3 linked regions of the Xenopus tropicalis genome follow. The protein of the gene in region 2 binds, or shares a complex with, the protein of the main gene of each other region. Links are inferred from orthologs where the notes say so. Each region holds a gene or a part of one and is shown on either strand. Other genes may lie near its edges.

Region 1 (4,184 bases), about 62 Mb from region 2:
ATTAAGTAGAATGTGGGCAGTACTGCCACAAATATGTTGGAGGGTGGGTGCTGCTGTTCCTCAATAACTGCTTAACTGCCATCAAAGCCCCCTCTTGATTCATTAAAACATTAATCATTTTTGTTACACCAGAGAATCTACCCATGTGTTGTACCTCTGAAACAATAGAAACATTCTTTAGCACACCACTTGCATACATCCATAAGGTGCTTCAATTCCTCGGCTGCTCCCAAGCCAATTTATGTACTTTACAAAGGGTAGAAGCACACCAATAGGTGCACCTGAAGAAGGGGGTAACCCCCAAAACCTTGTGCCACTTATTTTCTGCAATAAATGTGTTAGAGGCATGGCCGGTGTATTGGTGTGCTTCTTCCCTTTGTAAAGTATTGTACCTCTGAAAAGCATGTAAGGCACACAAGGAGCACTGTGTTTAAGGAACACTAGGGAGTGTCTCATAATGATGAACAAACAGCAATAACTGATTGTGGAGCATACCTAGAAGAAAAACAGACACTGACAGCGCCCCTCTATTTAAGCACAGCTGTCCTTGGATTAGCACAGGAGCACACATGAGAAAAGTGTGGTGCTGTACTAGTGGACTTTGAAACCTGCCCTGTGGGAAAAATCATTGTCCTTTGAGCAATTTAGTAGGGGTGTACAAATTAGGTCAAGTCAAGTGCTTTTAAGTACAGGTATGGGACCTGTTATCCAGAATGCTCGGGACCTGAAATTTTCCAGATAAAGGATTTTTCTGTAATTTGGATTTCCATAACTTGTCTGCTAAAAATAATTTAAATATTGAATAAACCCAATAGGCTTGTATTGCCTCCAATAAGCATTAATTATCTTAGTTGGGATCACGTACAAGGTAGCAAATTTTTTACCATTACGCAGTACGCAAGTTTTTCAACAGTTTTGCAATTTTTTTGGCAATGCGAAATGGGACGGATTCACTCATCACCACTCAGCAATTATTACTTTGTTTTTAACTATTATTATTGTTATCATTTAGACTTGATTCCAGCCAAGGCCCTATCAGCAGTTTGTATGTTCTCCCCTTTTTATACATTTTCTAAAATTACATTTGTTTCCTCCAAAACTACTCCTATTTAGAAAACCATGGAGGAATAACATTTATTTGGTTATATTGTCTATTTAAAACTGTATTTGTATTGTTCTAGTACAAATTATGATGGTCACTTCAGATGTTTCAGTTGCAAAAAAAAAAAAATAGGCACCCAAAAAAATGTCCAATTACAAAACAAACCCAAATGTGCATTTATAAAGTTTCAGTATAACTTTTTAGCTATTTATTGTCACATGCCCCTGCTCTTTGGCTACTGTCCAGTACTATGCTATCGTCTCCTAGCAACATGTCAACAAAAGGACAGCTATATGAGCCAAGAGAGCTGAGCATCGGCATCTGCTTCCAGAGACTGTCTCCATACACCCTACTCTGACATCAAATGCCACATTCCAGGGATCCATATCCTTTCACCAGATATGAGAATGATGACACTTTTCAGGGAAAAGAAATCCAGGTAGGATGTTACTTTTATAACCTTAATTTAGGAAATAGCAATAACTGCAAGCAGTGATGTCAAGTAAAATCAAGAAAACAGGACTGTTCTAGAGGGAAAAGTGGCAAACAAGTTTAAAACAAGGTACAATAGGCTCTGTGTTTCTGTTGTAAAAGAAAGAGTTTTTCATTCCATGATTTAGCTATACTATGAATTACTGCATCATCTGTCAAACTGAAATGTGCTAGAGGATAAAACCTTTTTTAAAAAAAATAATATAAGGATAGATGCAATGCAGAATGAGCAATTTCAATAAAAGTTTTCACCCCTCTGTATACATTGGCTTTAGTTATATGTTTTTATTCACTTAAAAATATCTTCTTAATATAAAGGAGTTTCAGTTCCATGAATGGGTTACTTGAGCACACCTATCTAGCACCAGATGGACGTCTGAAACCATAGTGGGCATTTTATTTCTGCTTTTTTTATTTATGTTTGTCTCTAGCAACAAAGTGATTTTGTTTTCTCTGTTGCTTGACAACTTCATCTGAATGGCAGCTTTCCTAAACGGATCACTTGCACAAAACGTCCTGACTTTATTACTCAGCACAAAACAAAATGTACAACATGAAACTAAGATGTTTTCTGCAGTGGCAGGTGCATCATCTCCAGTATTTGGAACAAACAATAGAAAATATAAGGTGCCTTTTATGTTTATTTATATAGCACCTAAAGAGATTGTTTTTCATTCATATCAGTCACTGGGTAAGTCACATATGCTACGGTCCATTTTATAAGGAGCCAATTAACCTGTCTCTATGTTGTTGGAAAACAACTGGAGGAAACCAAAAAGATATTGGGAAAACATACAAACAGAACCCAGCTCAGAGTTATAATAAACACCTTATAAGGTAGCACAAACCTACAAGATTAGTGCATTTAACTTGAACTTTAACTTTTAGCACTTCAGTGTCTAAAATACATACACATAAAAGTTATAAACCCCCTTTGGATTAATAAATGGTGGGACTGTCTACTCTGAACATGTAAATCATCTAATAATTTAAGATTCCAATAAATTTGAACATAAATGCAAAATAGATATGATGTACATCTGTATTTAAATGTAGTAAACCCTCCTGTAAGGCTACTTATAGGTGTGATTATATAGACAAATGTGACAGTAATACAAATATCATACAAATTTCTATTGTACTGGCATAATTTAAATTCTCCTGAGAAAGTGCAGTCATTACTGCACAAATGGCATAACGCCTATAAGCAACTCACCATTGTTTCATAATATAAAGTCTGTGTATTCTATTGCTGCTATTTTTAGGGGTATTTATTAAAATTTGAGATGAAGATCACCAGTGATGTTGCCCATTGCAGCCAATCAGATATTTGCTTTTGATTTCTAAAACTTAAATATAATTGCTGATTAGTTGGGCAACATCACCAGTGATCTTTGTCTCCAATGTTAATAAATACTCCCTTTATTTCTTGCATTGATGCACATGTTTATCAGAAGTTTGAATTATTAATTTAAGTGTCCTAAGCGGAGGTTATGAGTAAGCAGTCTCACTGTTTATGTTAAAAGAACATGGCAAGACCTGAATTTCCTGTTTAAAATGGGAAGTTTATCTTATACAGATACATGTGCTCTGTGACACAGCATGTAACACAACCTCTTCTTTGGATGGCATTTCTTTTTCCAGAAGGGGGTTAATGCAACTTTTTTGCCCATAAGCCACACTCAAATGTAAAGAGAGTTGGGGAGCAGCTCAAGCATTAAAAATGTTCATGAGTGCACCAAATAGGGGCTGTAGTTGGCTATTTGGTAGCTCCTATGTGGACGGGCAGCCTAAATGAGGTTCTGTTTGGCAGTGCAACTGTTTTTATGCAACCAAAATTTGCCTCCAATCCAGGAATTTAGGCCATTGGGGGCAACATCCAAGGGGTTAGGTAGAAACATGTTGCTCACGGATCACTGGTTGTGAATCACTGCTCTAGAGAGTACACGCAATTATTGTGAATATTGCTTCATTTGGCGACTGGGCTGACAAGGCTCTGGTGCTGTATGGGGTGGCCAGGCTCTAATGTAAAATATCTGTGTACATCATTAAACTGTAACTGTACAGTTAGAGCTGAAACATTATAAATAGATGTTGTTGGACTCATCCTTTAGCAAATATTTTATTATTATGTTTCAGCCATTTCTGGGCCATACCATAGCACATTATTGTCAACAGGGCAGAGCAACTACTTAATATGTAATAGCACACGACAGGCAACAGAGTGCATTTCCCACAGCAGCCACTCACCTCCTGATTCAATTGATTTGTAGAGATTGGATAGCACTCTTCAAATCTTAAATATTTAAAAACCTTTATTCATAGGCACAAAGCATGACAAACATTTGACAAAAGGCTTCTTTTACTGCTTTGTCTTGGCCTGTGGCCATTTGAGAGTAATTCTTAAATATTTATTTTTTCAAAATAGTGAACATAGCAATCTGGCAAAAAAGGTGGAAAACTTTATTCATTTTTGCATTTAATTATAACTAAAGCAATTTGTGAAGACATAACCAGAAAAAGGTTTCGCGTGTATTTAATTGATCAATAATGCAAGGACTGAACACATGGTCTCAAATTTCATTAAATT
Region 2 (2,138 bases):
TTTTCTGCCAAAAGGTGCCATAGATTGCTTAAGCATTACAATCTCTTTTTCTAGATGAGGTGCGCACTGGCACATACCGCCAACTCTTCCACCCAGAGCAACTTATCACTGGAAAGGAAGATGCTGCCAATAACTATGCCCGTGGTCACTACACAATTGGCAAGGAGATCATTGACCTGGTGCTGGACAGGATCCGCAAACTGGTATGATTATTGTGACATTTCTTGGATCACATTCATAAAAAAGTCAGTCTACTTTACATCATAATAAAGTAGCCTTTATTACCTAAATGTTAGCTGTTAGTTAATCTAGTTATTTGTATGCAGTTCCATCTAGCTAGGCCATACAATAATAACCCCTCAGTTCTAAAAGCTTTGGGGTTGCTGTTTGTATTGTCAGATGCAGGACCATATCATAATTTTGTACTATTCTGTTTTATTCTTAGGCTGACCAGTGCACAGGTCTCCAGGGTTTCCTGGTCTTCCACAGCTTTGGTGGTGGTACTGGTTCTGGATTCACCTCCCTGCTGATGGAGCGTCTCTCTGTTGATTATGGAAAGAAGTCTAAACTAGAGTTCTCCATCTATCCAGCTCCTCAGGTCTCCACAGCTGTGGTTGAGCCCTACAACTCTATACTCACCACTCACACCACCCTGGAGCACTCTGACTGTGCTTTCATGGTAGACAATGAGGCCATTTATGACATCTGCCGCAGGAATCTAGATATTGAACGCCCAACCTACACCAACCTGAACAGGCTTATAGGCCAGATTGTGTCTTCCATCACAGCCTCTCTGAGGTTTGATGGAGCCCTGAATGTAGATCTCACAGAGTTCCAGACCAACTTGGTGCCCTATCCCCGTATTCACTTCCCTCTTGCCACCTATGCCCCTGTCATCTCTGCAGAGAAGGCTTATCACGAGCAGCTTTCTGTTGCTGAGATCACAAATGCCTGCTTTGAACCAGCTAACCAGATGGTGAAATGTGATCCACGCCACGGTAAATACATGGCTTGTTGCCTGTTGTACCGTGGTGATGTGGTACCCAAAGATGTAAATGCAGCTATTGCCACCATCAAGACAAAGCGTACCATCCAGTTTGTGGATTGGTGCCCAACTGGTTTCAAAGTTGGTATCAACTATCAGCCCCCAACTGTGGTTCCAGGGGGAGACCTGGCTAAGGTGCAGCGTGCTGTGTGTATGCTGAGCAATACCACTGCAATTGCTGAGGCCTGGGCTCGTCTGGACCACAAGTTTGATCTCATGTATGCCAAGCGTGCCTTCGTGCACTGGTATGTGGGTGAGGGTATGGAGGAGGGTGAGTTCTCTGAGGCCCGTGAAGACATGGCTGCCCTGGAGAAGGATTATGAGGAGGTTGGTGTAGACTCTGTGGAAGGAGAGGGTGAAGAGGAAGGAGAAGAATATTAAATGTCAAAACGGTGCTGCTTTTAACAGGGAACTTAAAACCATCCAAAAAATGCAAAATGTTTGATCAAGTTATTTTTATGTAGCTAATTTCTATGATATGTTTTTGCTGCATTAAAATGATTTGGTCTAAAACACTTGAAACTCTTGAAACAGATCCAGCCATTTATTTTTGTTGTGGATTTGACAATAAACACATTCCCTGTCATACAGAATTTCTATCTGTGGTTTTCCGTTGTGTTATATTGATTTCTTTCAGAGTCAGGTAGGGCTATCCAAAGGTCTAAAACAGTGCTGTCCAACTTCTGCGGTGCCAAGGGCCGGAATTTCTCTAGCATACATGGTCGAGGGCCGCTAATGGAAGCCAGTTTTGGCCACTCCCCTTTTTTGAATCACACCCATTTTATCACAATGGTGGTAGTGCAGCAAAAGCCCAAATGCTTGGTCCTCACTGCGGGGATATCAACAGTTATTCATATATGAAAGAATTATATTATGTCATATTAAGACATACCCTTACATCCATATGCCTCCTCCTCCCCTGTGGATAGCACAGCAACCCCCAGCACATAATTACACACCTTAGGGACCATATAATGGTGGTTTCCAACTACTAACAAACTCCCAGAACAAACCCCTGCCAGGTTCACCTCTCACAGTCAGCATAGGGCAGGCAGAGTATGGCACACACAGGCAGCACTCTGCCTCCCTTATG
Region 3 (3,931 bases), on a different chromosome or scaffold from region 2:
TAATCAGATCTGGAGCCGCTAATGGGGGGCGGGGCTTAATCAGATCTGGAGCCGCTAATGGATCCTAAACCCACAGATATAGGGAAAATGTAGCCGACATAGAAAAGATGGTGACAAAGTATCTAGATATATAATATCCTACATAATCCCATTCAGTGGGAGGGGCCCATGAGTTTGTAGCTCCGGTGGAAATTCAGCCTATCGGCGGCGGTGATGAGATTGTCCGGCCCACTCACGTAGCTCCTCTCCGTGGACGTGTTGAACCCATGGTTCCGGTACATGCCGCATTTCACCGCTGTCTCCGAAAATTTGTCCGAGATGCCGTTAAACGTCGTCTGGAACGACGGAAATGTACTGTTAGTGTGTTATAGAATGGCAGCTTTTCAATTGGTCTTCATTATTTATTTCTTATAGTTTTTCAATTATTTGCCTTTGAATTCTTTGCAGCTTTCAAATGGGGGTCACTGACCCCGGCAGCCAAACCCTATTGCTCTGTGAGGCTCCAGTTTTATTGTTATTGTTACTTTTTATATCTTATTTTTCTATTCAGCCCCTCCCCAATTCATATTCCAGCCTCTCATCCAAACCACTCCCTGGTTGCTAAGGTAATTTGAGCCCTAGCAACAGGATAACTGACCCCAGCAGCCAAAACCTATTGCTCTGTGAGGCTCCAGTTTTATTGTTATTGTTACTTTTTATATCTTATTTTTCTATTCAGCCCCTCCTCAATTCATATTCCAGCCTCTCATCCAAACCACTCCCTGGTTGCTAAGGTAGTTTGAGCCCTAGCAACAGGATAACCGACCCCGGCAGCCAAACCCTATTGCTCTGTGAGGCTCCAGTTTTATTGTTATTGTTACTTTTTATATCTTATTTTTCTATTCAGCCCCTCCCCTATTCACATATCAGTCTTAAATTCAAATCACACCCTCGTTGCTAAGGTAACTTGGACCCTAGCAACCAAATAGCTGCTGCAATTCAAAAAACCACAAATAAAAAATGAAGACCAATTGCAAACTGATCCCAGCAGCCTAAACCTATTGCTCTGTGAGGCTCCAGTTTTATTGTTATTGTTACTTTTTATTCCTTATCTTTCTATTCAGCCCCTCCCCTATTCATATACCAGTCACGCTCTCAAACCACTCCCTGGTTGCTAAGGTAAATTAGACCCTAGCAACCAGATAACTGCCGAAACTCCAAACGGTAGAGCTGCTGAACAAAAAGTAAAACAATTGAAAAACTACAAATAATAAAAAAATGAAGACCAATTGCAAATTTTCTCAGAATATTACTCTCTATATCGTAGTAAAAGTTACACAAATGTGTTGTTCACCTTTACATTAGCTTTCAGTACGATGTAGACAATTTGCAATTGGTCTTCATTTTTTATTATATGTAGTTTTTTAATTGTTTTACTTTTTGTTCAGCAGCTCTCCCATTTGGCATTGCAGCAGTTATCTGGTTGCTAGGGTCTAATCTACCTTAGCAACCCACTGATATCTGGCTGAATATTAGTTTCCCATTGGGCATTGCAGCAACACAGTCCTTACTGGCTGTAGATCAGCTGACCTAGGGCAGTTACACCCCATGCCCCCCCCCAAAACATAAATCAGCTTGCTTACCGGCATTTCATGGACCGTGGGGGGTCGGCTCCCGTATATCTGGTTAGAGGTTCTGTATAAAGGGTTGTCAGTCTTGGGTCTGAAATGAAACGGAAAGATATTATCCATCTGCCCCCCCTACTGGGTTCTGTTACTATGGTTACTGGCCCATCTGGGCTGTCTACTGGGGCAATTGACCTTGGGTGGAACCTTTATGTGGACGGCCCCCCTCGGATTGTACCATTCTCTGCCGGGCACAGGGGAGTATCGCTGGAAGAGATTTGGGGCAGAGGATTGGGGTGAAGGGGTTCAGGGTTAGGTATTGGGGTATATATATATATATATATATCTTTATACACAGTGTCCCTCCCCAATCATCGCTCCAGAAACCCCGGCTCTCTATTGGCCGTCACTGGAAAAAAATCATTTTAAAGGGGATGTTCACACTTTGCAGTTGGTCTTCATTTTTTTTTGGCGGGTTTCAGTCATTTAGCTTTGTATTTAGCAGCTGGAATTTCAGCAGCCGCCTAGTTGCTAGGGCCCTGGCTACCCTTAGCAACCAGCCAGTGGTTTGAATCTGAGACAGGACTACGAATAGAAGGGGGGACTGAATAAAAATATACGGAATAAAAAAAACCAATAATAACAATGGAAGCTTACAGAGCAGACGGTTGATAAGCTGCCGGGGTCAGTGACCCCCATTTGAAAGAAGTAGAAGAGTTAGGAAAATAGTTTATAAACTATAGACAATAAATAATGAAGACCAACTGCATACTTGCTTGGAATAGGACATTCTATAACTTGGCTTAAAGGTGAACTCCCGCTTTATTTGTACCATTACTAGTGTAAGCACTGACCATTACATAGCAACCATCACTCAGTTGGCCCTTAGGGGCCCCAGATCTGCCAGTAAAACCCCTACTCCCAGAGTGCATTGCGCCACATACCTGTACCCCCGTCTCCACGTCTCTGGTTGGTTGAACTTGGGGGGCAGAGACTCACTCACCCTGTAGAAGTCGCAGGTTTGGGGGTCGGAGGATGTTCCCTGTGCTGGACTCTCCGACATCTTGGGGTTCCCTTGGGGCAGGAGGCTGGCGGCTTGTGTGAGAAACAACTTCTGTTTAAACAATCCCTGACTGCTTGGCAACCGTTGCTAAGAAACCACTAGAGGGCAACCGGAGCTTCCTGCAGTCAGCCATAGCAAAGCGCACAGCCCGCTGTATAACGGGAAGAGTGCAGTTAGCAGTGTGACCAGCAGGTGTCGCTGTGGTACCCGGGAACCTTGAGCTTTCGCTGCCGGAGGAAATGAGTGAGCCGGAAGCGCAGCGCTCAGTGACCTTCCCCTTATGGGACTCAGCATGGCGGCGTCTGGCCTCACCGGGCTGATAAAGAGAGGTAGGCTCTGTCTCCTCTGCACTCAGGGCTCTGTCTCTTCTGCACTCAGGGCTCTGTCTCCTCTGCACTCAGGGCTCTGTCTCTTCTGCACTCAGGGCTCTGTCTCTTCTGCTCTCAGGGCTCTGTCTCTTCTGCACTCAGGGCTCTGTCTCCTCTGCACTCAGGGCTCTGTCTCCTCTGCACTCAGGGCTCTGTCTCCTCTGCACTCAGGGCTCTGTCTCTTCTGCACTCAGGGCTCTGTCTCTTCTGCACTCTCTGCTAAGGACAGGTAGGGTCTGTCTCTTCTGCACTCTCTGCTAGGGACAGGTAGGGTCTCTCTCTTCTGCACTCTCTGCTAGGGACAGGTAGGGTCTGTCTCTTCTGCACTCTCTGCTAGGGACAGGTAGGGTCTGTCTCTTCTGCACTCTCTGCTAGGGAAAGGTAGGGTCTGTCTCTTCTGCTCTCAGGGCTCTGTCTCCTCTGCACTCTCTGCTAGGGACAGGTAGGGTCTCTGTTTCTGCACTCTCTGTTAGTGACAGGTAGGGTCTGTCTCTGCACTCTCTGTTAGTGACAGGTAGGTCTCTGCACTCTCTGCTAGGGACAGGTAGGTCTCTGTTTCTGCACTCTCTGCTAGGGACAGGTAGGGTCTGTCTCCTCTGCACTCTCTGTTAGTGACAGGTAGGTCTCTGCACTCTCTGCTAGGGACAGGTAGATCTCTGTTTCTGCACTCTCTGCTAGGGACAGGTAGGGCTCTGTCTCTTCTGCACTCTCTGCTAGGGACAGGTAGGGTCTCTGTTTCTGCACTCTCTGTTAGTGACAGGTAGGGTCTGTCTCTGCACTCTCTGTTAGTGACAGGTAGGTCTCTGCACTCTCTGCTAGGGACAGGTAGGGTCTCTGTTTCTGCACTCTCTGTTAGTGACAGGTAGGGTCTGTCTCTGCACTCTCTGTTAGTGACA

Evidence for each region. The genes of interacting proteins can lie anywhere in the genome.
Region 1: the proteins of tuba1a (region 2) and c1orf194 are in contact, whole or in part, in a cryo-EM structure (PDB 7UNG), measured with the Homo sapiens proteins. The link is inferred for Xenopus tropicalis from reciprocal best matches to the Homo sapiens genes TUBA1A and CFAP276. Residues at the interface, in NP_001257328.1 of Homo sapiens: Lys112, Glu113, Ile115, Asp116, Leu117, Leu119, Asp120, Arg123, Lys124, Asp127, Arg156, Ser158, Val159, Asp160, Gly162, Lys163, Leu195, Glu196, His197, Ser198, Asp199, Tyr262, Pro263, Arg264, Trp346, Lys430, Asp431, Glu434, Val435, Val437; in NP_001231954.1 of Homo sapiens: Pro43, Trp44, Arg46, Leu47, Asn48, Thr50, Pro51, Thr52, Ile53, Thr54, Ser55, Arg57, Arg58, Ala60, Tyr62, Asp64, Ile67, Pro68, Lys69, Asp70, Asp71, Phe74, Arg75, Lys90, Ser91, Leu94, Leu95, Asn96, Lys98, Thr99.
Region 3: the proteins of tuba1a (region 2) and c8h9orf116 are in contact, whole or in part, in a cryo-EM structure (PDB 7UNG), measured with the Homo sapiens proteins. The link is inferred for Xenopus tropicalis from reciprocal best matches to the Homo sapiens genes TUBA1A and PIERCE1. Residues at the interface, in NP_001257328.1 of Homo sapiens: Met1, Arg2, Gln15, Asn18, Ala19, Glu22, Cys25, Leu26, Glu27, His28, Gly29, Ile30, Gln31, Pro32, Asp33, Met36, Pro37, Asp39, Lys40, Asp46, Asp47, Ser48, Asn50, Glu77, Gly81, Thr82, Tyr83, Tyr224, Thr225, Asn228; in NP_001041730.1 of Homo sapiens: Tyr28, Pro35, Gly36, Arg37, Phe38, Trp43, Phe44, Arg45, Gly46, Tyr47, Arg48, Thr58, Ser59, Asn60, Gln61, Ala62, Tyr63, Gly64, Arg66, His71, Glu72, Pro74, Phe77, Tyr78, Pro79, Asn80, Ser81, Asn82, Lys83.

The regions. Positions count from the first base shown.
Region 1 is NC_030678.2:74,560,431-74,564,614, forward strand, and holds the start of c1orf194 (protein C1orf194 homolog), read left to right. Parts: upstream 1-1,384; 5' UTR 1,385-1,466; coding exon 1,467-1,541; intron 1,542-4,184. UniProt on the Homo sapiens protein: Microtubule inner protein (MIP) part of the dynein-decorated doublet microtubules (DMTs) in cilia axoneme, which is required for motile cilia beating. May play an important role for the maintenance of myelin-axon integrity.
Region 2 is NC_030678.2:136,576,892-136,579,029, reverse strand, and holds the end of tuba1a (tubulin alpha-1A chain), read left to right. Parts: intron 1-54; coding exon 55-203; intron 204-445; coding exon 446-1,426; 3' UTR 1,427-1,638; downstream 1,639-2,138. UniProt on the Homo sapiens protein: Tubulin is the major constituent of microtubules, a cylinder consisting of laterally associated linear protofilaments composed of alpha- and beta-tubulin heterodimers.
Region 3 is NC_030684.2:7,004,187-7,008,117, reverse strand, and holds the start of c8h9orf116 (UPF0691 protein C9orf116 homolog), read right to left. Parts: upstream 2,801-3,931; 5' UTR 2,668-2,800; coding exon 2,549-2,667; intron 1,702-2,548; coding exon 1,623-1,701; intron 336-1,622; coding exon 153-335; 3' UTR 127-152; coding exon of another isoform or gene 123-126; 3' UTR 1-122. Other genes in the region: mrps2 (28S ribosomal protein S2, mitochondrial), read left to right, coding at 2,960-2,996. UniProt on the Homo sapiens protein: Microtubule inner protein involved in the attachment of outer dynein arms (ODAs) to dynein-decorated doublet microtubules (DMTs) in cilia axoneme, which is required for motile cilia beating.